3 linked regions of the Coturnix japonica genome follow. The protein of the gene in region 3 binds, or shares a complex with, the protein of the main gene of each other region. Links are inferred from orthologs where the notes say so. Each region holds a gene or a part of one and is shown on either strand. Other genes may lie near its edges.

The links. The genes of interacting proteins can lie anywhere in the genome.
Region 1: the proteins of BRD1 (region 3) and KAT7 are in contact, whole or in part, in a crystal structure (PDB 5GK9), measured with the Homo sapiens proteins. The link is inferred for Coturnix japonica from reciprocal best matches to the Homo sapiens genes BRD1 and KAT7. Residues at the interface, in XP_047297239.1 of Homo sapiens: Val40, Ile42, Glu43, Ile44, His49, Arg50, Ile51, Ser52, Ile53, Phe54, Asp55, Pro56, Leu57, Glu58, Ile59, Ile60, Leu61; in NP_008998.1 of Homo sapiens: Leu531, Phe534, Gly536, Lys537, Glu538, Ile539, Ser540, Ile541, Lys542, Pro552, Val553, Val556, Gln560, Leu565, Tyr567, Lys571, His572, Leu573, Val574, Leu575, Lys576.
Region 2: BRD1 (region 3) and ING5 share a complex: the UniProt entries of both Homo sapiens proteins name them as parts of the MOZ/MORF complex. The link is inferred for Coturnix japonica from reciprocal best matches to the Homo sapiens genes BRD1 and ING5.

The regions. Positions count from the first base shown.
Region 1 is NC_029542.1:2,699,343-2,706,497, forward strand, and holds the end of KAT7 (histone acetyltransferase KAT7), read right to left. Parts: intron 7,110-7,155; coding exon 6,999-7,109; intron 6,264-6,998; coding exon 6,072-6,263; intron 5,762-6,071; coding exon 5,672-5,761; intron 4,875-5,671; coding exon 4,734-4,874; intron 4,463-4,733; coding exon 4,369-4,462; intron 4,161-4,368; coding exon 4,014-4,160; intron 3,624-4,013; coding exon 3,517-3,623; intron 2,873-3,516; coding exon 2,771-2,872; 3' UTR 1,039-2,770; downstream 1-1,038. UniProt on the Homo sapiens protein: Catalytic subunit of histone acetyltransferase HBO1 complexes, which specifically mediate acetylation of histone H3 at 'Lys-14' (H3K14ac), thereby regulating various processes, such as gene transcription, protein ubiquitination, immune regulation, stem cell pluripotent and self-renewal maintenance and embryonic development.
Region 2 is NC_029524.1:3,636,912-3,643,106, reverse strand, and holds the end of ING5 (inhibitor of growth protein 5), read left to right. Parts: intron 1-24; coding exon 25-136; intron 137-1,015; coding exon 1,016-1,109; intron 1,110-1,683; coding exon 1,684-1,819; intron 1,820-1,980; coding exon 1,981-2,042; intron 2,043-3,076; coding exon 3,077-3,122; 3' UTR 3,123-6,182; downstream 6,183-6,195. UniProt on the Homo sapiens protein: Component of the HBO1 complex, which specifically mediates acetylation of histone H3 at 'Lys-14' (H3K14ac) and, to a lower extent, acetylation of histone H4. Component of the MOZ/MORF complex which has a histone H3 acetyltransferase activity.
Region 3 is NC_029516.1:16,759,536-16,766,690, reverse strand, and holds part of BRD1 (bromodomain-containing protein 1), read left to right. Parts: intron 1-1,709; 5' UTR 1,710-1,723; coding exon 1,724-3,090; intron 3,091-7,155. UniProt on the Homo sapiens protein: Scaffold subunit of various histone acetyltransferase (HAT) complexes, such as the MOZ/MORF and HBO1 complexes, that acts as a regulator of hematopoiesis.

The DNA.
Region 1 (7,155 bases), on a different chromosome or scaffold from region 3:
CTCTGTGTGACTCACTGCTTAATTAGTGTTTGCATTACCTAAGGATCCCAAAGTCACAGCCAAGAGAAGACCCCATCGTGTAATGGGATGTACAGAGAACAAATATAAACAGCAGGCAGAGGAAGGGAAACTGAAGCTGTGAGCAGAGCAGTGTGGGAACTAAAGCTCTTATCAACCCATCTCTCTGTACAGTTATCTACAAACTAAGCCACGCCGTATCTTCCTGAACTTAGAAAAGTAAATCTGGTAGCTGGTATTATGCCAAGCTGTGCTCAAGTAAAAGCAACACTCCCATATGTATGTATCGCCTTAAATGGAATTATTTTAACTGATATTAAATGGCCTTTGTTAGTAAGGAAAGGAAGAAACAGGAAGAGCCTCGATGTGAGTTAGCAAACATCACCGCTCAGGGAAGTGTCTGTGGTTTTATCTGTGATCTTATAGAGAACACAGACATCAAGGTGTTGCATCTCACTTCACTCTTCACAAGCTGAGCATCTCAAGTCCCAAGCCACGACCACTGATATGTTGGCCTTGCTCTGAACAGCATCATTGCCTCCCTGCAGCTCAGAGCCTAATTAACATTACCTCTTCTTTCCCCACTGAGTGGACTCCTTGTAAGGACCTCCTATCAGAAACCCAAAGATTCAAGCTCTGCAATGAACTCCAGCTGCTATTGTTCAAAGACTTCACTTGTACGAGGAGAGAGGAGATTCTGGTGATGGAAGCAGTTGAAGAAAGGTTCAAAACCTGAGATGATCACTTTTAGGGTAACTCCTTCCTTCTTAGAATTAAAGTTGATGCTCCATGACACACTTCTGCTTCCACATCCTCCTCCTGGCAGCCTCCCATGCAGGACCAGCTCATGAGTGAATCCACGGGGCTTCAATCTCTGTAACATCCAACCTTGAGGCTGCTTTGTGCCTTTAACACACCAGGCGCAAAGACGGGTCCCAAATCAGCTCCTTGAAGCATAAAGCGGCAGCTCTGCTTAACTGAAGATGGAGAGTAGACAAGAAAATGCAGGGAAGGCACAGACCTGAGCAGAGAACATGCTTTATTGAGAAGTAGATACAAGAACAGCACATTCTACCACATCTTGGGAATGGGGTTTAGCTTCTGTACAAGAATGGCCTTCTTCCCTACTCCAGAGATCTACTTTGTTGGGTATTTTTGTGAGTAGCTGTAGTTAGTTACAATACAGGAGCAAAGGGCACGAGACAGCACAATTCAGTAATGCCCACAAAGTACAACATCATTGACTGATGGTCTTTTTTTTTCTTTTCTTTTTTAGTTTCTTCTTTTATAAAGAGGCAGAGAAAGGCAGACAACCACCAGAAGGGCAACAGAGAACTTTACCACACAAGGATGGGTCAGTGGTTAACGGGAAATGGCTCCTACCTACTGGTATGGGATGCTGCAAGTGCTTCACTTCAGTCACCATTCAACAACAAGAAAAGCATTGGAAGGTTTCAATGAAATCAGCACTAAATGATGCTGCCATCACCTACCCCAAGTCTGTGCCCTCCTTTTAATGACGCCGGAGCCATATAGCAAACTTGAGGCACAAAGACAGTGGTTATACTTGAAAGCCATTGTATGATAGTTTCATCTGGTGCTGCTGATGGGACAGAGGAAGTAAAAGCTTTCTTGTTTTACAAAGACAAACAAGGCTGCACTGTCAGAGAAACAAACCATCCACACAGCTACGTGAAGCTGCCACTGATGCACGGAACACAAATTGTAGGCAATCCAACAACTGGTGGTATTTGGATTTCAGAGTTTCTGTGGCTGTTTGGATAAGGTCAGCAAATATTTATCTGCGGTGAAGATTTCATTCCTTCGGTCTTGAGGGAAGAAAAAAAATCCTTCCTCAATAGAAAGAGGCCTACGATCCAAAACATCCCCAGTGAAATGGGTTGGTTTTGTGTGAAGGAACCCAGCAGCTCCATGAGAAGAACCAGGTAAGCAGCAATATGCAATGACAGAGGTGTCCCCAATAGAAGTGGCACCACTGTAGATCCAGGAGCACACAGCAAGAGCAGCTCTATGAAGTTTATCAGACTGTGGATTTCTCAGGCAGTCAGCTCACACTCCCCTGGGATAACACTAACAATCACAGCACTCAAGTCACAAGATAGGTATAAGCTTCTGACTGCACAATCTTAGCTATGCAAAGACCTGCTGTATGGTATGGAAAACGCTGCTCAAAGAGGTGGCATGTTGCCTTAGTAGTATTATTTCACACGTGGAATGGAACAGCCCATCAGACAGGACTGGTTAAAAAATGCTGGAGTCAGTGTAAATGGCAGCTTGCTTAGGAAAACAGCCTTTCTGCAAACAAGTGTTGTTAGACCTTGTTCAAAAGCCACAGAAGTTACCTCCGTTACTTACAAAGCAAGGAACCTGAAGGAAGGAACAACCAGGTAACAGGACACAACACAACCTCATCGGAATAAGAACATGAGGGTAAGACCAGTGACTGGACAGGTACAGTACCAGATATCAGAACTCCTTGGGCCAGCGCTACTAGGAGCTTCGTTTGGGTCCTATACAGATCCAATCCTTGCAACCTCATTGAGGCCGAAACATAAAGTTCCTCAGAACTAGCTTCTGGTGTGCACAAAAGATCCGGGCCAGAACAGTACCAAGGGGAGCTGATCTTTTGGGAGGGTACTGTACCAGCCAATCACAACAGCAACAGGTACAACAGAGATCCCTAGGGTACTTCCTACTGCTGGGGTTCACTGGCTTCAGAAGTGACAGACAGTTAAGTTCCCTTCGGAGGGGTCCATTTCAAACAGCTGGGATCCATTATCTTATTGCTGTTGGATCTTTTTGCCTCTTTGGCTATCCATTCATCGATCAGATCCTGAGGAGAAGAGCACAAAAGGGTGGGTTAAAACAAACAGGCTGTGATGGGGGTATTATCCAAAGTACAACACCAAACATCGAAGTCCAGAAATCTGATTAACCCACTCCATAACTGCTGAGCAGCTCAAAAATAACTTCTATTCCACAGCACTTTCTAGAAGCACTTCCAACCACACTGATAAGGCTTCCTGCAGCTACAAAGTTTCGGAAAGAGCACATCAGTGAGAGAAACTGACATATCTTTGGGGGTTTATAAATCATTTGTCTTATACCTAATGAGGATCTAAACAGGACACATTCAGGATTCATTTCACTACTGTGCCTCCATTTGCCCAATAAAGGTTAGGCACGATGAGGGGCAAGAGATGAATGTCAATCCATCAACCCCCTAAAAGCTGCTTACAATGAACAATGTTATCCTATACATTAAATAATATCAGTCTATGCAGCCTATTTCTACACTACTGAAAAATCAAGCTCAGCGCTGATGTTTTATTTGAGTAGCCACTGCATTTCAAAATGATGGCGCTCCCCACTGAAATCAGCCCGAACACCAAAGATAACACTGACTTCATTAGTTCAAGTGAATCTAACAGCTAAATGAAGAAATAAAGGAGCAAAGAGAGCTATGAGAGACCTTACCTGTCTTTTTAGGACCAGGTGTTTTCCCTTCCAGTACTTCAGCATCTGCAGCGCCTGCAACGTACTAACAATGTCGACAGGGTTTACTGCAGTCTCCTGGCTGATTTCTGCAAACCAATAGCAGTTTAGGTTAGAATAGAAACAAATCCCACTGCAACAGTCTGTAACAGTCAGTTTTCAACTAAAGTCTTATGCATCTGACTTAGCCTCTGACTGCTCTGGTTATCTGTAGCACTGTTATACAGGTTGCCTGTGGTCAATTCACTTGCAAAACATTTGAAAGCTTTTAATATTTTCAAAGGTGCTTACAGAACTCTTCAAGTTGGATTATTTTTGCTGCTGGAAGGACTAAAGAGGAGCAATATCCAAACACAGGAAGATTCCACCAACTGTGCTGCTACACAAACACGTGCATCAATGCGATGAGCGTGACCTGTCTCATATTTGAGGTTGCATAGGCATGTTCCTGAACCGGTTTATTCACGTTGAAATTGTACCTTTTATAGAGATCTCTTTTCCTTGGAAATTATGCAGGTAACGAAGGAGAACTTCCTTCCAGTAGCTCCGGTAGCTGATGAGACCCAAATCAGACAGAGGACGCTCTGGAGAGCCAACTTTTTCTTCTACTTTAGAAAGCAAATAGCCTGTAAGGAAAGGAAATTTATTTCTCCTTCCCAAACTACGCCCTCCTGACTGCTACACTCTTCAGCACGAGAAGAAATCAGCTCTAACAAATGCTTCTATGCAGATCTAACACTGATATGATACACATATCTAACAGATATGTTAGATACTGGGGTGAAATTGTTATACCAAACTGAATGTTTCCAAAATGATTCTCTTTATACTTACTGAAGTCAATGAGCATCTTGCCATAGCCTTGCCTCATGTACTGGGGCATTGTCAGGATACAAGAGACATTGTAATTGAGAAAAGAATTCTTCTCCTAAAAAATCAAGAATACAGAGAACAAATTAACAAGTTTAGATCTGCACAAACAATAGGCTGTATCATAACCCTATCAGACAGAACAAGCCTTTACAACTGATTCAATACAAGGTGAAAGCAGGCTGGCTTAGCATCTGACTTTATCAGCCAGTGGGTGCTTGGTGCACAATGTAAAGCTCAGGGTGGCAGCACATGGAACTGAACCCAAGCAGCAGTCACTCCCACTTCTGCCATCTAACAGGTTTATATGCAAGAAGAAAGCAACCAACCTTAGAGAAATATCCTATCAGGTGGCAGCCAGTGTTGTCAGCTTCTGTCATGACATAGAAGAGGAATGGTTCAACATCATAATACAGTGTTTTATGGTCCAAGAAAAGCTTTGCCAGCAGACATAGGTTTTGACAGTAGATCTAGAAACAAAAGGAGAGTGTGAACAAAACCAGACATATGTGGGAAACACAAAGGAAGGTCTGCATCTGAGAAATGATGTGGAGCCTTTCAGACAGAAACAATCCCATTTATGAAGATACTTGATAAGGTGAAATTTGCAAGAGTGGGAATTTCTGTTGGTGATACCTATCTCTGAATACTCAAAACATCACATTCTCAGTGAAAGGAAACAGAAGGTTGGACCTCTGCTTGTTTGTATTAATCCCATGCTTCAAGGTCACCTGTGGGAAACAGAAATTCTCCCCCCAACTTCTGGCAGTGCAAAACTTAGCTTTGAATCAGTTCTTCCCTCTGAAGCCTTCAGGACTGGACACACCTAGAGACTGCTGCTACCTAGCACTGAACCTGTGGTTGCAGATGCTCTACCCTTCATTTGAGGGTCAAGGTCACCCTCAGTAATAACAGCCTACTTTCCACTCTAACACAAATGTGAATGTTCACAGCTGAATGAGAGATGCAGTAGCAATGTACTGAAGCCACACACAGAAGCTCCCCATTCATTTTAAGAAAGGGATCCTGCCATAAGCCCCCAAAAGCTATTGATCCAACAGAGTGCAAGAGAACAGGTGAAACTGCATGTGCACAACAGCAGTGAGGAATAACCACAGTGAGAATGCAGACAAAACAAACGTCAGAATTGCAAGAATGCACAGACCAGCCTGCAGTAGCCTTTCCACCATTAGAGAGAGAAAGAGCCATTTGCATCCTGTTTCTCTACAGGAAAAGCAATGCTAGGCCTATTAATACAATTAATTACCTTGTTCTTTTTCCCATCGACTTCAAACACTGAAATGGAGCCTTTGCGGTAGATTTCATCACCTGGTGGATGTTTCCAAACACATTTTGCCTATGAGAAGTAAACAAAATTAGGGTGACACTACTGTTTTTAAAGGTAGAAGAGGTTACAACAGCTGCTGGATACACCAGGAGACACGCAAGCTTGTTTAATTTAAGTTAAGATCTCATTTCTGATCCTCTGTAACCCACTGAACAGACCAGAAATCAAGCCTAGGAAAACTTTCTTTTACAATGACCCAGAATCTTCTCACCTCTCAAAGTGAACAACTGAACTGACAGCAGTAATAATGCTTAAAAACCATCTGCATGCTCATGCCTGATTTGAAGCTCAGGAATCAAAGACCTTTCCCAGCCCTTACCATGTGTCTGCGCAGTATTGTCTGGCTCTTCATGTACTTGAGACAGAACTCACACATGTAGAGACGTCCCAGACGAGCATACTCCTCTGGGTATGGAGAATGATACCAGGTGTCCAGTTCATAGCGGCCAAAAGCGATAGTTTTAATCATATTGCTGCCTTCTGTGATCTGGCCCTGGAGCCGCAGCTTTTCCTATGAATGAAATCCATTAACAGCTATTAACATATGCCTTAAAGGGATGCTGAGAGGAAGGGGCTGTATTTCTTTCCCTCAAGGAGATCCTTCACTTTAAGTCTGTGACCTAATGACATATCCCACAAACCCCTCAAGTAAACTAAGCCTGAGCCCAGCTCGCAAGCACTAGCTAGTGGTGGAAGAATGACTTAGAAAACATCTTTAAACACTTCTGCCCTCATCTGCAGGAAGAGATACAGCCCAACTCTCAGCCTTGAGACATCCCAGATACCACTGTCACTGGTGAGCATCAAAGAATCTTTTGCTTCATTTCTGGAGATGGGAAGTAGCTTTGAAGAGCACCTACAGAAGCCTCAGCCACAATATAAGGATTTTAACCTCATTCAGTCACCAATTACTGCCAAGACTTCTGTCTTTCATTTCTAATCATTCCTTTGCTGCTGTTTCCATGGGTGAAGCTGTCCATTCCCTTACTGAAAAGATACACCTATTAAGTGAGGCTGTTACTAATTATTCCTCATCCAAGGCACTGCGGCATTTGTCTCTGCAGATGTTCAGGTCCATTTATACTTTCAGTAAACCCACTGAGTGATTTCAGCATCACACCTACTCTAACTGTGCTGACTCGGCTGGGCTGTGGGTGCTAATCTTACAGTAGATTCTACCTGCTCAGGTGCAACAAAACCCAAAAACCATTCACATTTCTGAACAACTGTGAGCTAGAAGACTCACCAGGTCCTCAGATGCCCGTGCTTGTGCTCTTCGGAAAAGCTCGAGGTCATACTCACTAGTCAGGTTCTCAAGGAGAGGTTCCCTAGTATTGCCATAAGTTTGCCTGTGTTCCTAGAGCAAGAAAACATAAAAAGGAGATTTTATTGACACACTCCAA
Region 2 (6,195 bases), on a different chromosome or scaffold from region 3:
GTTTGTGGTTTCCTCTCTGTGCAGGTGGATAAGCACATCCGCCGGCTGGATGCGGACTTGGCGCGGTTTGAAGCGGATCTGAAGGATAAACTGGAGGGCAGTGACTTTGAAAGCTCTGGATCACGAAACCTGAAAAGTGAGTAAATGTTTTGTGTTTATCAGCTTTTTCCAGCACTGGGCATATCTAAGCAGAGGGCCTTGGGTACAGAGTAGACTGTCATTTCTAGATGCCATGGTGTAAATTCAAACTTATTTTAAATGCTCTTCAGGTATTCATAGAGTTGTGCTGGGCAAAAAACAGGAGAAGGAAAAGATCTAGTGCTGGGCTCTCCTTGTCAGTGTCCTGAAGTGGCGCTGGTTGTAAGGACACTACTGGCCACGGGGAACTAACCATGATAGTACTGAACTGATGCTCAGCTTGTGATTCCTACAGTTCTTGAGTTGAACAGTCGCAGCCTCAGGCTTAGTCTATCGCTTAGATTTGCAGAAGGCAATACATATCTCATCATATATGTTGCTATTTATTAAAGTCTCGTGTGACATTATGGACCACTATAACATACAATAATCTAATTTAGGTTGGATATTAGGAGGAAGTTTTTCACCCAGAGGGTGGTGACGCACTGGAACAGGTTGCCCAAGGAGGCTGTGGATGCCCCATCCCTGCAGGCATTCAAGGCCAGGCTGGATGTGGCTCTGGGCAGCCTGGGCTGCTGGTTGGTGACCCTGCACACAGCAGGGGGTTGGAACTGATGATCATTGTGGTCCTTTTCAACCCAGGCCATTCTATGATTCTATGACTTGCCAAAACTGCAGGTGTAGGACTTTGAAGCTTGACAATATTACTTTCAAAACTGGTGTGTTTGTGGCAGAAAAGTGTATGTGCATTTCATAATCAGTGCTTGTGTTTGGTTGCATGTGGCAGAAAGATTTCAAAACCACAAATGCTCCAAAAGAAAAACACCTGAGGGTGGTATTCAGACTGATTGAAGCGATGCTTTATCCTTCTTTATAGAGGGAAAAAGTCAGAAAGACAAAAGAAGCTCTCGTGGTCGAGGCAAGCGAACATCTGAAGAGGACACACCAAAGAAAAAGAAGCTGAAAGGAGGGTAAGCCGTAACCAATCACACTTCTGGTGACTTGAGCTCCACACTTCATGAATTTTCCTTGTGTTCCTGTTACCCTATTTATGACTCTTGTGTTGGGATGTTAGTGACGTTCCAGTATTCTGGTCTCACTAATTAGAGTCCTCCTTAAGACAAGTTAGCTTTGCTAATTAACTCCTTGCTTGCCACATGGAAACCCAGCATGCTTGGAATGCCCTCTGTCTGGAAGGACGAGATCAGAGTCTCTGTTGCTGTTGGCAAGCTGGGGGAAAATACCTTTGATTTTTGTCATGCAGCTATTTTTAACAGTTGCTTGTGATATTCATTGTAAAGAAACACTTCTCGGTTGGGACAAATGCTGATGCTGTGTTGCTCTTATAGAGATCTTGCAGAGTTTTTTTGGTTGTTTTTTTAAACAACAGTGTACTGAATAGTCTTGAATAATATAATTGTGTTCTGTGAAGCAAGGAAGGAGGCATTTCACCTGTCTGTCATGTGTTTTTTTTAAAGGCACTCTGTTAATTCCAATATATTCCATTGGTTAAGTGGCAAGTTGAAAAGTTGTTTTTGTTTGCAGCTCCGAGTTTGCTGACACCATCCTGTCAGTGCATCCCTCAGATGTCCTGGACATGCCTGTGGACCCCAACGAACCCACCTACTGCTTGTGTCACCAGGTGTCCTACGGGGAGATGATTGGCTGTGACAACCCAGACGTAAGCACTTGCTTTATTGCTTTATCGTCTAAATGCACTCTGTATCTTTTGAGACAGACAGTGAAATTCAAGGGGGTTACTTGCTCATTTTATCATCCAAAGTGAATGTAGCTGGTGAAATGCTAAGCATCTCCTCTGTGGATTTTTCCTTTCTTTTGCAGTGCCCGATTGAGTGGTTCCACTTTGCTTGTGTGGACCTCACCACCAAACCAAAAGGGAAATGGTAAGGACATGCAGGTTTTTGACTTCTGTCAGGCTATAGTTTCTCTCCAAAGGAATCACAAAAAGAATTGAAGCCCCATGGTGACCCTTCCCAACAAAGGAACTTCGTTCTTGTGGTCGGAGTTTTACACCATGTTGGGTTTGGGACTATGAAGGAGTGCAGAATTTCATGATAAGCAGGGCAGTCCATGAGCTTAGGCTTTTGTCAGAGTGTACAGCTTACATCTCATGTTTGCATTTGTTGATGTGATTAAGGTTAGGAAAAGAATATTTTCTGTTCTGCTTAGGGGAGCACAATGTAAGACTACAGCAGTTCTTCACCTATTTGTGTGCTATTTTAGAAGGAGTCCTAGGCTTTTTCCGTGCTTGCTTTCTTTTGCAAAGGAAAAAAGCTTTGCTAAACGTTGGCTTTTGCAATTAAAATACCACGCTCTTCAGTTTGCATAACAAAAGCAAAATTTAAAGAGGAAATGCAACGGCAGTACTGCATGGAGTGGGAACAAGTGGTAAGACTTGGTCATTGCATTTCAATCGGATATGGCGGTGGCAGCATGCAGTTGAATGACAGTTGAGTTGTTGAGTCTGCAGACTTTTAAAGACATGCAAATCCTTCTGTTTGGTTCATCTGACTATAAGATGCATGTTAGAATCGAGGTTAAGCAGAAGTGAGCTGCAGCCATTTGCAATCATTGCTGGGGCAGAATATCATTTTTCCTTTGACTGTAGAAGAAGCTGATGTACCAGCCTTGAGAAATTTGGTTGGAATAGCTTGTGGGTGAATGCAATAGAGCCCCTCAGAGCTGTGAGGGGCAGGTGAGCCCCTGTAGCCTTCCAGTGCTGTCCCTTCTGCCCACCAGTGTCCATACGGTTCGTTCCCTCTGCTTAATATTGCTGCATGCCATGTGAAGTGTTGCAGTTGGCTAAAATTAACACCGCCTCCACTCATTTCCAAGTAATGGAAAAGGCTCCCGAGTAATATGTTGTTAATTTTAGGAACTAATTAACAGCCAGGTTTTTTTTTCTCTCTCTCTGTAGGTTTTGTCCACGTTGTGTTCAGGAAAAAAAGAAAAGCAAGAAGTAAAGGGGAATAACCTCCTCTGAGGCGAGAAGAGTTTTAATATATTCCTTCCTTCATGTTGCAATATCATCTTTGATTTTGATTGTGATTTTAAAAGCTGCCCTCCTCCCATTTCTGATACGCTATTTAATTACCCAGCGGCCAGTTGTAATTCCTGTTCTTTTGTAAGAAAGTGACTTTGGGAAGGGAGGAATTTGCCACAGGGATTTTATTTATGTTACTCTGGCACTGCACTGACATCAGTGTTACTCCGAAGTGCTAGAACAGCCCATAGTCTGCTTGTGTTTTAGGAGTCTGTTAAACCCTGAGAGGCACTGCAGGACATTGAGATACCCAGCCTTCGGTGTGATGCTGCCTTCGGTGTGATGCTACCATCGCTGAAGTCATTCAGACCTGGAGCTTAGCATGGCAGGAAAAGCAATTCTCTCTCGTGCAGCCTACAGGAAAGGATTATCTCCATTGCTCTGGTGTGATGCCCCTTTGTTGTGCAGTTTTGTAGTACAGAGAGGATCGAAAAAGCTGATTAGCTGCTCCCAGTGGCTGTTTCCTCAGAGCCAAATGCTGTGCTTAGTATTGGCAGGATGAGTACGGGAGAGAGAGAGAGAGAAGACCATCCTTAGTATCTTCTCCTTTGGGGGAATTTATTCTGTCTAACTTTACACTGCCATTCTTTTACTTGGTTTTGCTCATATCCACAGCCTCAACAGAAGCAAGCTGTGGCTTTTAACCTCCTCGTGTCTTCTGGAACAAAACCTTTAAATATCAAAGGGGTTTTCCTGCAGTGCTGACAGTAGTACTGAGAGAGCAAGTTACCTTTCCTGTCAGTTTTTGTTGCTTTAAAAATGAACTTTAAGTGTGTTACTGTGAAGTTGATACCCAGAGTATTGTGGCAGGGGGTCCGATTTATCCATGCAGTAAGATGAAGGCTTGATGTTCTTATATCTCAAGCTTTAAGGGGAGATTCTGTTAGAGCAGTGTGTACATGCCAGTGATGATGCAGCAAAGCTGAAGGGCGGCTGTGTGGTAGCGTGGTGGCAGTTTGGTTCTTGGGTAGCTTTTGCTATGAAAAAGTGCCATTAGAGAAGGCAACGCAGCAGGAATGTCTTTAAGTCACTGCTTGTCTTTTTTGAGGGGCAACATTGCCTGTTCTTGACTTCTTGAAGCTGCCTTTCAGGTCTCGAATGTGAATGTTTGCTGTCATCACAGCGGTTGCTGCAGCAAAAGGATAAGTAGGAAATCATGAATAGGAAAACAAAACTCTGTTCTATTAGGGTTGTTTTTTTTCTCCTTCCAGAGTTAATAGTGGATGCAGAAGTCGGGGGAAGAACAGATAACTGTTGTCTTTAGGCATCCCCTGTATTATGAGGCTTAACTGCCTACAACAGAGACATTGTGGGTAAAGGCAGAAACCCATTCAGCAGAATGGAGCAGGGTCTGTGAGCTTGTGATGGCTGTTAATGGCATCTGCACATTGCTCTGCATGCCAGCTCTTGATACAGGCCGTTGGAAGGGCTTCCAGATAAGCACTTTCTTCTGCTTTAAAAACAACCTGACTAAACAGTACAGAAGGGAAGAAAAAGAAACCCAAAACAAATCAAATCTGACTTCAGCACCAGCTCCCAAAAGAAAAACGTTTTTCCTTGCCTTGCCCTGGCCACATCGTTTGTGTTTGGCCAGGAAGGAAAGTAGAACTCAGCTCATGGCAGTTCTGCCTTCCTGCTTTGCTCTGTTGTAGCTGCTGCAGGTACATTCAGATTGTCGCAAAGAAACCTTTTGGTACTGATTTCTGTGAACCCTCGGATGTATTTGCTGCACAGAAAACCTGCCTGCAGGGTCCTTTTGTTGGAAGGGTGACATCCATCTTTGCTGCATCGCATCACTCCGCGTTGTATATGAAGTTTCTGTAGTTAATGTTTACAGGACGATGCATGTTTGTCGTCGCTGCCCTGAAACTACACAGACAAGTTTGAAACAGCTGGTGGGAAGGGAGAGGGAAAGCACAACCTCCCAGAGCTGGGCTTAGAAATACAGCCAGCCTTCTCCTTCTTCCTGCCTCTGTTTTGAGAGTAAATGTAGTTGCGATACCTCATGAGCCAGCCTGTAATTCAGTACCAGCAGTAAGCCTGTACCTCACTGACCTGCTACACTGGATTCCTTCTAAGGGTGACTGTCCTGAAGGCTGCGATGCTGTCCCAAGTTCTGTTTTCTCCTTCCGTCCAGTGCTATTGTAAAGGTTTCCCCCTTGTCTCCCAAGGCTTTAGCAGTGCACGGTATCACCGTAAATCAAGCATTGGATTTGAAAAGGAATCCAAACTTAGATTGTGCCTCTTGGGAGACCTTGCTGGGAATGTGCAGGTATGGAGATGCACGGTCAGTGCCACACTGACTGCCTTATGCTTAGGAAAGATGGTCAGGTGGGACAGCAAGATGTACTTTGTATGTGTTTTCTTGGGCTCAGATGCTTTCTATTTTAACCAGCAAAGCAAAAAAGAACCAACCAACCCAACACTGTAGAAGTTGGTATCAATCCTCCAAAGGGAAAGAAGCTCCAGCAGGCGCCAGGATCAGCGCGTGGTGCAGAGCCTGGTTGTTCATACAGCGTAACACCGCCAGTGTGTCCTCAGAACCCACACCAGCAATAAACCCAGCCTGCATCCACGCTGGGGGACACACAGCCTTCACTTCTGGTGGCGAGAAAAAGAGTCATCAAATCTTTCTCCTGCATATTGAATGTAAAGTGTTAAACAGGCCCCGATGGAGAAGGATGGACGGACTGGTGACCACTGTCAGTGCACCACAGTGCTGGGTGGTGTCCGGCTTTACTCCAGCTCAGCCAAACGGGAGGTGAAACGGCGTCAACCCTTGTTTTATAAAGGAATTTGGTCTACGTTCCCTTTGGAAATGGAAGAGGATAGAAATCTTTTTATCAAACAAACAAAACAAACAAAAAAAAAGAATGTAAAGTTAAAGATAATAATAATAATAAATGTATATCTGTATTTTTTTGGATCACGTTATAGATGATGGATATATTGATATAAATAAAGTATTTTTGGGAATCGAGCTGTCGGAGCAG
Region 3 (7,155 bases):
AAAGTGGCATCATAGACTGATCAAAAAAAAAAGTCACTATTCTGTGTGTCAACCATTCCGATCTTTGCTGTTTTCTTCCTGAAGTAATTATACTGCTCTGACAATAGTCGTGCTTGGAGCTCTTTTGACATGTTAATGTGAGTAGAATTATTTTAACTGAAAAAAGGCATGAAGTGCACAATTTCTGATTGATGAGGATTTAAATGGTGAGGCTGTAATAATAGATTAAGTAGTTCGTTACAGATCAAGTTTGTTTTATTAGTGATTTATCAAGGAGAGAAAAGGAGAAAGATAGAAGAGGCTTGTAGGCTTGACATGAATGGTTCTGTAATATTTTTCAGTCTTGATAGAAAAAGAACTGTCTTAAAGGGTTTAAGCATGGAAGCTCTCAGTTATATTTTGTAATCAAATTGAGTTCCCATCCTAGTTATGGTGCTTCATAGGGAGGGAAAAAGCTAGGTTTTTTTATGATGTGGTATTTGTAACAGAGGCTGACCTTGTTGCGGTAGGTGTATTGAAACTAGAAAGTTATGTAAGTTTCATTTTATAAAGAGCTTGGATTTGGACTGAAAGACTGGAAGTTATTTACCTACTCTTGCTATGAGGAAAGCTATGAGAATGGGTTGAGGGATGAGGGCGTGTGTCTGTGTACATGCACACTCAGCTTCTCATTTTGCATGTTTTCAGTATAAATCAAATCTACTTTACAAGTTGAGCATTTCCTAACTGCGGTCCTATTTCATATTTACATTATGAGTTGAATTCTGTTCTTGTCATTCTGTGTATATCACTATATTTGAAAGTTCTGACACTGAATGGGATTCAGCCTGCTAATGTGGGAGTTAGATAAAAGAATAAAACACTGTTAATAACTTTCTGAATATGGAGATATAATTCTTAAAAACAGAAACCGTTTCTGTGGATATGTAGTTAGGTAAAGAACTATACACTCAGTATTTCTAACTTCAGCTTAGGAAGTTCTGCACAAATGTGCGGAAGAACTTCTTTACAGTGAGGGTAACGGAGCACTGGAACAGGCTGCCCAGGGAGCTGGTGGAGTCTCCTTCTCTGGAGATATTCAAGACCCGCCTGGACACCTACCTGTGCGACGTGGTGTAGGGAACCTGCTTTGGCAGGGGGGTTGGACTCGATGATCTCTAGAGATCCCTTCCAACCCCCACAATTCTGTGATTTTTTTTAAAAAAGCTTTGTTAACCTTGGAGGTATGAATGTTTTTCTAACTCTAAGTATGGGGGTAATAAAGGAATCGTTAATATGATTTTAAAATTGCATGGAATAAAGTTGTGGGGAAAACTTACTCTTCTTCCAGGATTATGTCAGTTCTTCTAGAGGTGAGACCTAGAGGAAAAAAGATTTCAGGCTGTTGAAAAGAACTGCACATACTCAGCAAATGGAAATACTGTATTAAAGATTTTCCTACAATGTAACAGTTATCATTTTTGTCTGAGCCTTTCTTATTATTTCCCTATAGTTGTTACAGTTAGCTCTTCTGAAGCATTTTTATGTTATGGACTGTGTAAGCACAGCTATACTTGGATAAGCTAGGGTTGTTGTTTTAATTTTCTTTTGGAAAAGGTTGGATAGGTAGTTTGGGGCCATAGAACTGAAGTTGCTTCTTACTGTAATGAAACTAATCTTCTTATATAAATTTTCAGAGATCATAATTTTAACTGTTGCTCTCATTTTAGGGAAACATTACCAAATGAGGAGGAAAGGAAGATGTCATCGAGTATCGGCAACAAGGCATTCTTCTTCTCCATGCAGTATTAAGCACTCCCCCACACGAGAAACCTTGACTTACGCTCAAGCTCAAAGAATGGTTGAAATAGAAATTGAAGGTCGCCTACATAGGATCAGTATCTTTGATCCTTTAGAGATTATATTAGAAGATGATCTTACAGCCCAGGAAATGAGTGAATGCAACAGCAATAAAGAAAATAGTGAAAGACCCCCAGTTTGTCTAAGAAGCAAACGGCATAAAAATAACAAAGTGAAAAAGAAAAATGAAGCTCTTCCGAGCTCACATGGCATACCTGCTACAACAGCTCCTCTTCCAGAACCAAAAGTACGGATTGTTGAATACAGTCCCCCTTCAGCTCCTCGGAGACCTCCGGTTTATTATAAGTTCATTGAAAAGTCAGCGGAAGAACTTGATAATGAAGTCGAGTATGACATGGATGAGGAAGATTATGCGTGGTTAGAAATAATTAATGAAAAACGGAAAAGTGATGGAGTGTCAGTTGTTTCCCAAAACATGTTTGAATTCCTTATGGATAGGTTTGAGAAAGAGTCTTATTGTGAGAACCAAAAACAGGGTGATCATCAGTCTTTAATAGATGAAGATGCAGTGTGTTGTATATGCATGGATGGTGAATGTCAGAACAGCAATGTAATCCTGTTTTGTGATATGTGTAATTTAGCAGTACATCAGGAATGCTATGGGGTGCCATATATACCTGAGGGCCAGTGGCTCTGCAGACACTGTCTGCAGTCCCGTTCTCGGCCTGTAGACTGTGTGCTGTGCCCAAACAAGGGAGGTGCCTTTAAAAAGACTGATGATGATCGTTGGGGACATGTTGTGTGTGCTTTGTGGATTCCAGAGGTTGGATTTGCCAATACAGTTTTTATTGAGCCAATTGATGGTGTCAGGAACATTCCCCCAGCCCGATGGAAGTTAACGTGCTACCTCTGTAAACAGAAAGGTGTTGGTGCCTGCATCCAGTGCCACAAAGCAAACTGCTATACTGCATTCCATGTGACATGTGCTCAAAAGGCTGGTCTGTATATGAAAATGGAACCTGTGAAAGAACTGACCGGCAGTGGGACAACATTCTCTGTAAAAAAGACTGCCTATTGTGATGTACATACTCCACCAGGTTGCATACGGAGACCTCTAAATATTTATGGAGAAGCTGAAATCAAAAACGGTGTTTGTAGAAAGGAGGGATCAGTCAGAACTGCTAGGTCTACATCAAAAGTCAGAAAAAAGACAAAAAAAGCCAAGAAAACAGTTGTTGAACCCTGTACAGTTATGCCAACTGTATCTGCTCCTTATATTCCCCCCCAGAGGTAAGCAAACCATCCAAGTGAGAGAAACCTTTACTTAATTTATCTGTTTAATTTTAAGCCAATGCTTTTAGATGGAGTCTTAGAAGTTTTTGTCCGTTTCTTCTGTCTTTGGCAACGATCGTGCTCAGGAGAGTAATGTAAATTCTGTATGTTGACAGTGTGTTAAAAATGCTGTAGCTTCTTTAGAGGAATTAGGAAGAGGTCTGAGGTCTGCCTTGTTTTCAGAAACTCCCTTTTTTTTTCCTTTTTTTTTTTTTTTTTTTACTTTGTCAGACCACATCATGTTGTGTGCTCTGTTGTCTGCTGTTCTTTTGAAAATTAGCTTCGAAATTCAAAATAGCTGATGTACTTGACATTTATTTAAAAAAAAAACAAGCTCAAAGTTAACCGTGTTTATAAGCTGGTAATCAAACTTCTTTTCCTATCTTGAGAACTCCAAAATGAAGATTAGATTTGCATGTATAGGATATTAATAATGTTTTTATCTTACCTAACTTAAATGTAAGCATGTACTGTATGATCTATGCAGGTACAAAAGGGTCTTCCAAGAGGTATTTTCCTTGTGGTACAAAATAATTTCTCAGGATATTTTTCCTATATCTTCATTAATGTTTCACAAATGCAATAGCGTTTATGAAGACTTGGGTGAATTTGTTACCTCTCATACTTTAGGTAATGCAGTCTTACTTGTGTAACTCAACATGAATGTGCTCTCCCATAGAATTATGCTGGCATATCTGTGGTCCCATAACTTTAGTACAGTTTCTCTTGAACAAAAACTAATGTGTGTGCAAAAGAGTTTTAACACCACGTTTGCTTACGAATTTGTCCTTTGTAAGAACTTCTGCTGATTCTTTTATTAGCGTATTGAAGTTTTCACAGAAGCTGTTACTTCAGTGCAAAATGTAAACATCAGAGCTGAGGATGCCCTTTACATCTAACATGCCATATTTTTATATTTTAGCAGTGATGATCAGTGGGCTGGCAGATGGCTCTAGATCTGGTGAGGCTAGTGAAGCGATGCTTGAATGAAAAAGCAGGAATGTTTTAAAGTCTGTTTTCATATGTAATTAACGGAATTGGAACAGAATGTTGCTTTTTGAATGCTTTTTATTTCAGGAGTTAAAGATTTTTGGAATGAATTTTGATTAAATTAGCTACACTGTAGTTCAAAAGAGCAGCGTTATCTCACTTCAGATTTCTTTCACCTAAACTGAGTTATAATTCATTTCAGTAGTGGAAATATATGTTTATGGGATTTGAGCAATGGAATAAAGCTCTGGGTTAGAAAAACAGGGTTTTAGCTCTGCTGAGCATTTCAGACATAATATACTGTGCTGAGAAGCATTAAATTGGACTGTTGGGACTAAAACCAAGTTTGTCTTTATTATTTGTTTTGCTTCCAGCATCTACAGCAGCAGTATATTTGTTTACCCCTTGAATTAAATTCTTACTGAATTTAATAACCGTACATTAAAAAGTTTCTCTGTAGAGGCACAAGTTCCATGTACAGGTTAATCGTGTACAAGGCTCTTAAGATGCTATAAATAAACAATGCTTTTTGAAAGCTGGCTACCAAGTATCAGGTGGTGGACGTTTGAAAACCAGTTAAATTAGTCTAAACAGTGTTTGGAGATGAGAGTTTTCCTGTAATAAGGACTACTAATGTATGTAGGTACTCACTGACTAATTTTGTCAGCCTTTAGCCTCCTGTGCGATGTTTACAGACATCATCAGGTGATTGCACTGTTCTGTGTCATGGCTCACTTGGCACAATTGTATTATTTTTGTTAAGTGATGCACCAATGAAAGGCTTAAGTTGGTAGTTAGCAGCAGATAATGTTATACGAACTAATACTGTTGTCCATGGGAGAAAGCTTATAAAAACAACTTACCTGAATGAATATCATCCTGATTGATTTTTATTTTGTGTCTTCTTGCCAACAGAAAGAACTTGGACTAAATGAGAGTTGAGAACTGGAATGTGTGTTCCTAGTTGTAGCTTTGGCAATTCTACCCACAGATGACTTTTGTTGAAGTCAGACCCTGACACTGAAGGGATGCCATCATCAGAATTTTTTTAAAGTGTTTTTAGTTTCCAGGAGCAGATATATAAAGACTGTTGATTTCTTTCTACTGAGAGATTCCATGTATGCTCAGGTTCATGTTACTGTATACATGGATGTTTGTTGGGATAACACATTCAAATGATACTTTATATCAGAAATGTAAAAACAAAAACAAACAAAAACACAAAAACTTAAAGTTTTTAACTTTGTTATAAATGTATTGTCTTCATGCAAGAAGATTCTTAAATATTCTTTTTGATAAGGATGCATTTAGTCCTGGAAAACTAATATCTGAATTGAAAGCAAAACAGAAATGGGCACGTTAAAAGGTGAATTTTATTTTCCTTTCCCAACTCTCAGTTGTCCAATTTTTTATTTTTTTGTTGTTGTTGTCTAGAAAAGCTGTGTTTTTGATGTGGAGTTAATTACACACCTATATACTAGTAACAAATTATGTGAAGTGTTTTGTATCTGTCTTCATTTAAATTGTGCCTTTAATCTGTTCTTAAGTATGTGAATTGTTTTTTCTTTCCTTGGAGTTGGAATGTGATTTACCTTCCCAGAAAACTTTAAGAAGAGCAATTATTCACCTGCAGAGAAGAAAAAATAGGCTCCAGCTTTAAACACTGGTGCATTTTATTTTATTTTATTTTATTTTATTTTATTTTATTTTATTTTATTTTATTTTATTTTATTTTATTTTATTTTATTTTATTTTATTTATTTTTATTTTTTATTTTCTTCCCCTAAAAAAAATGAAATGAACCTTATTCTTTCCATCTGTGAGGACTGAGGAACGCCTGGGGAGCTGTTTGGTTTTGGTTTACTTTCTTCATCATTAATACCTAGACTACACGTGTTCATGGCTGGTTCTTTAGAGATAGTAGTTGCAGTAGTACATAAATGCTAATTTGAACACAACTGCTTGGAGAAACTCCTTGTCATTTATGTTTAGTTGAATGTAGTAGGGATATATTTTGTTTCCTTATCTGTGTAGTGAATGTGTGTAAAAACCTGAACATTTTACTATCACCATTTTAGTAATTCTGTTCTCTGAAATGCCTCTGTTTGTTTTAAGATACGTTAAAAATAATGTTGTAAAAAAGTATCATCATTTCTACACAGTTTTTTGTAACTTGTGAATTTCTGTATCTCTGTTCCTTAGATTCTGCTGTGAGTGGCTTTGAGACCTGTATTCTTTCCAGTTACCATTGTTTCTTAGCAAATGTTATGCTTGAAACTGTTTACAATTATGTAGGTAGTATCATGCCTTGGTTATTTGTGATCTAATTATATGGCCTTTCAGACTGTCATCTGTGAACTGCTGAGCGCAATATCAGAAGGTGTTGAATGTCAATAACAGGAGATGAATGCTTGTTTCCCACTCACTTTTTATTTCTGGGCATCCATTTCTCATCTTGTACCTCAGCTTTTCAGGATGTCTGTATAAGTGTCCACTTCCAGAGATACAGTGTGTCATGTTAGAGCATTGAGGTGAATTCATTGCTTGCTTCTTAGTAAGTTGCTTAGTGCTTGGAGTAAACCACTGGGAAATTTTCTGGGTGGATATGCATCTGGCCTTCCTGGCTATATAAGTGTTCTTTAGTCAGAGATTCTACTCAATTCTTCTTTAAATATGAAGTACTGAATTGTTGATTATGCTGTACAGACAGTACTTGACTCACTGACACAGGCCTCCTGCAGCCACCAGCTGATCTGTCTGGAAGTAGTGGTAGGTGGATTTTGCACTGAATATCTGCAGGGCTCATGCTTCACTGATGATATACGGTGGTTGAATTTCACATAGTTAGATAAGAGTCTTTTTTCTAATTAAGTATGGGAAGTGTTTTCTTACATTTCAGGTCTAAAACTTCGAAGGTAGGAAATTTTGACTTCTACAGTTGAGTTGACAATCTAAGACTTCCTTCATATTTGTTTGAGTTACCATGTACTGGCTCTGTACTCCTTTTCTTGTGAATTGTTCCTTCTGTTGTTG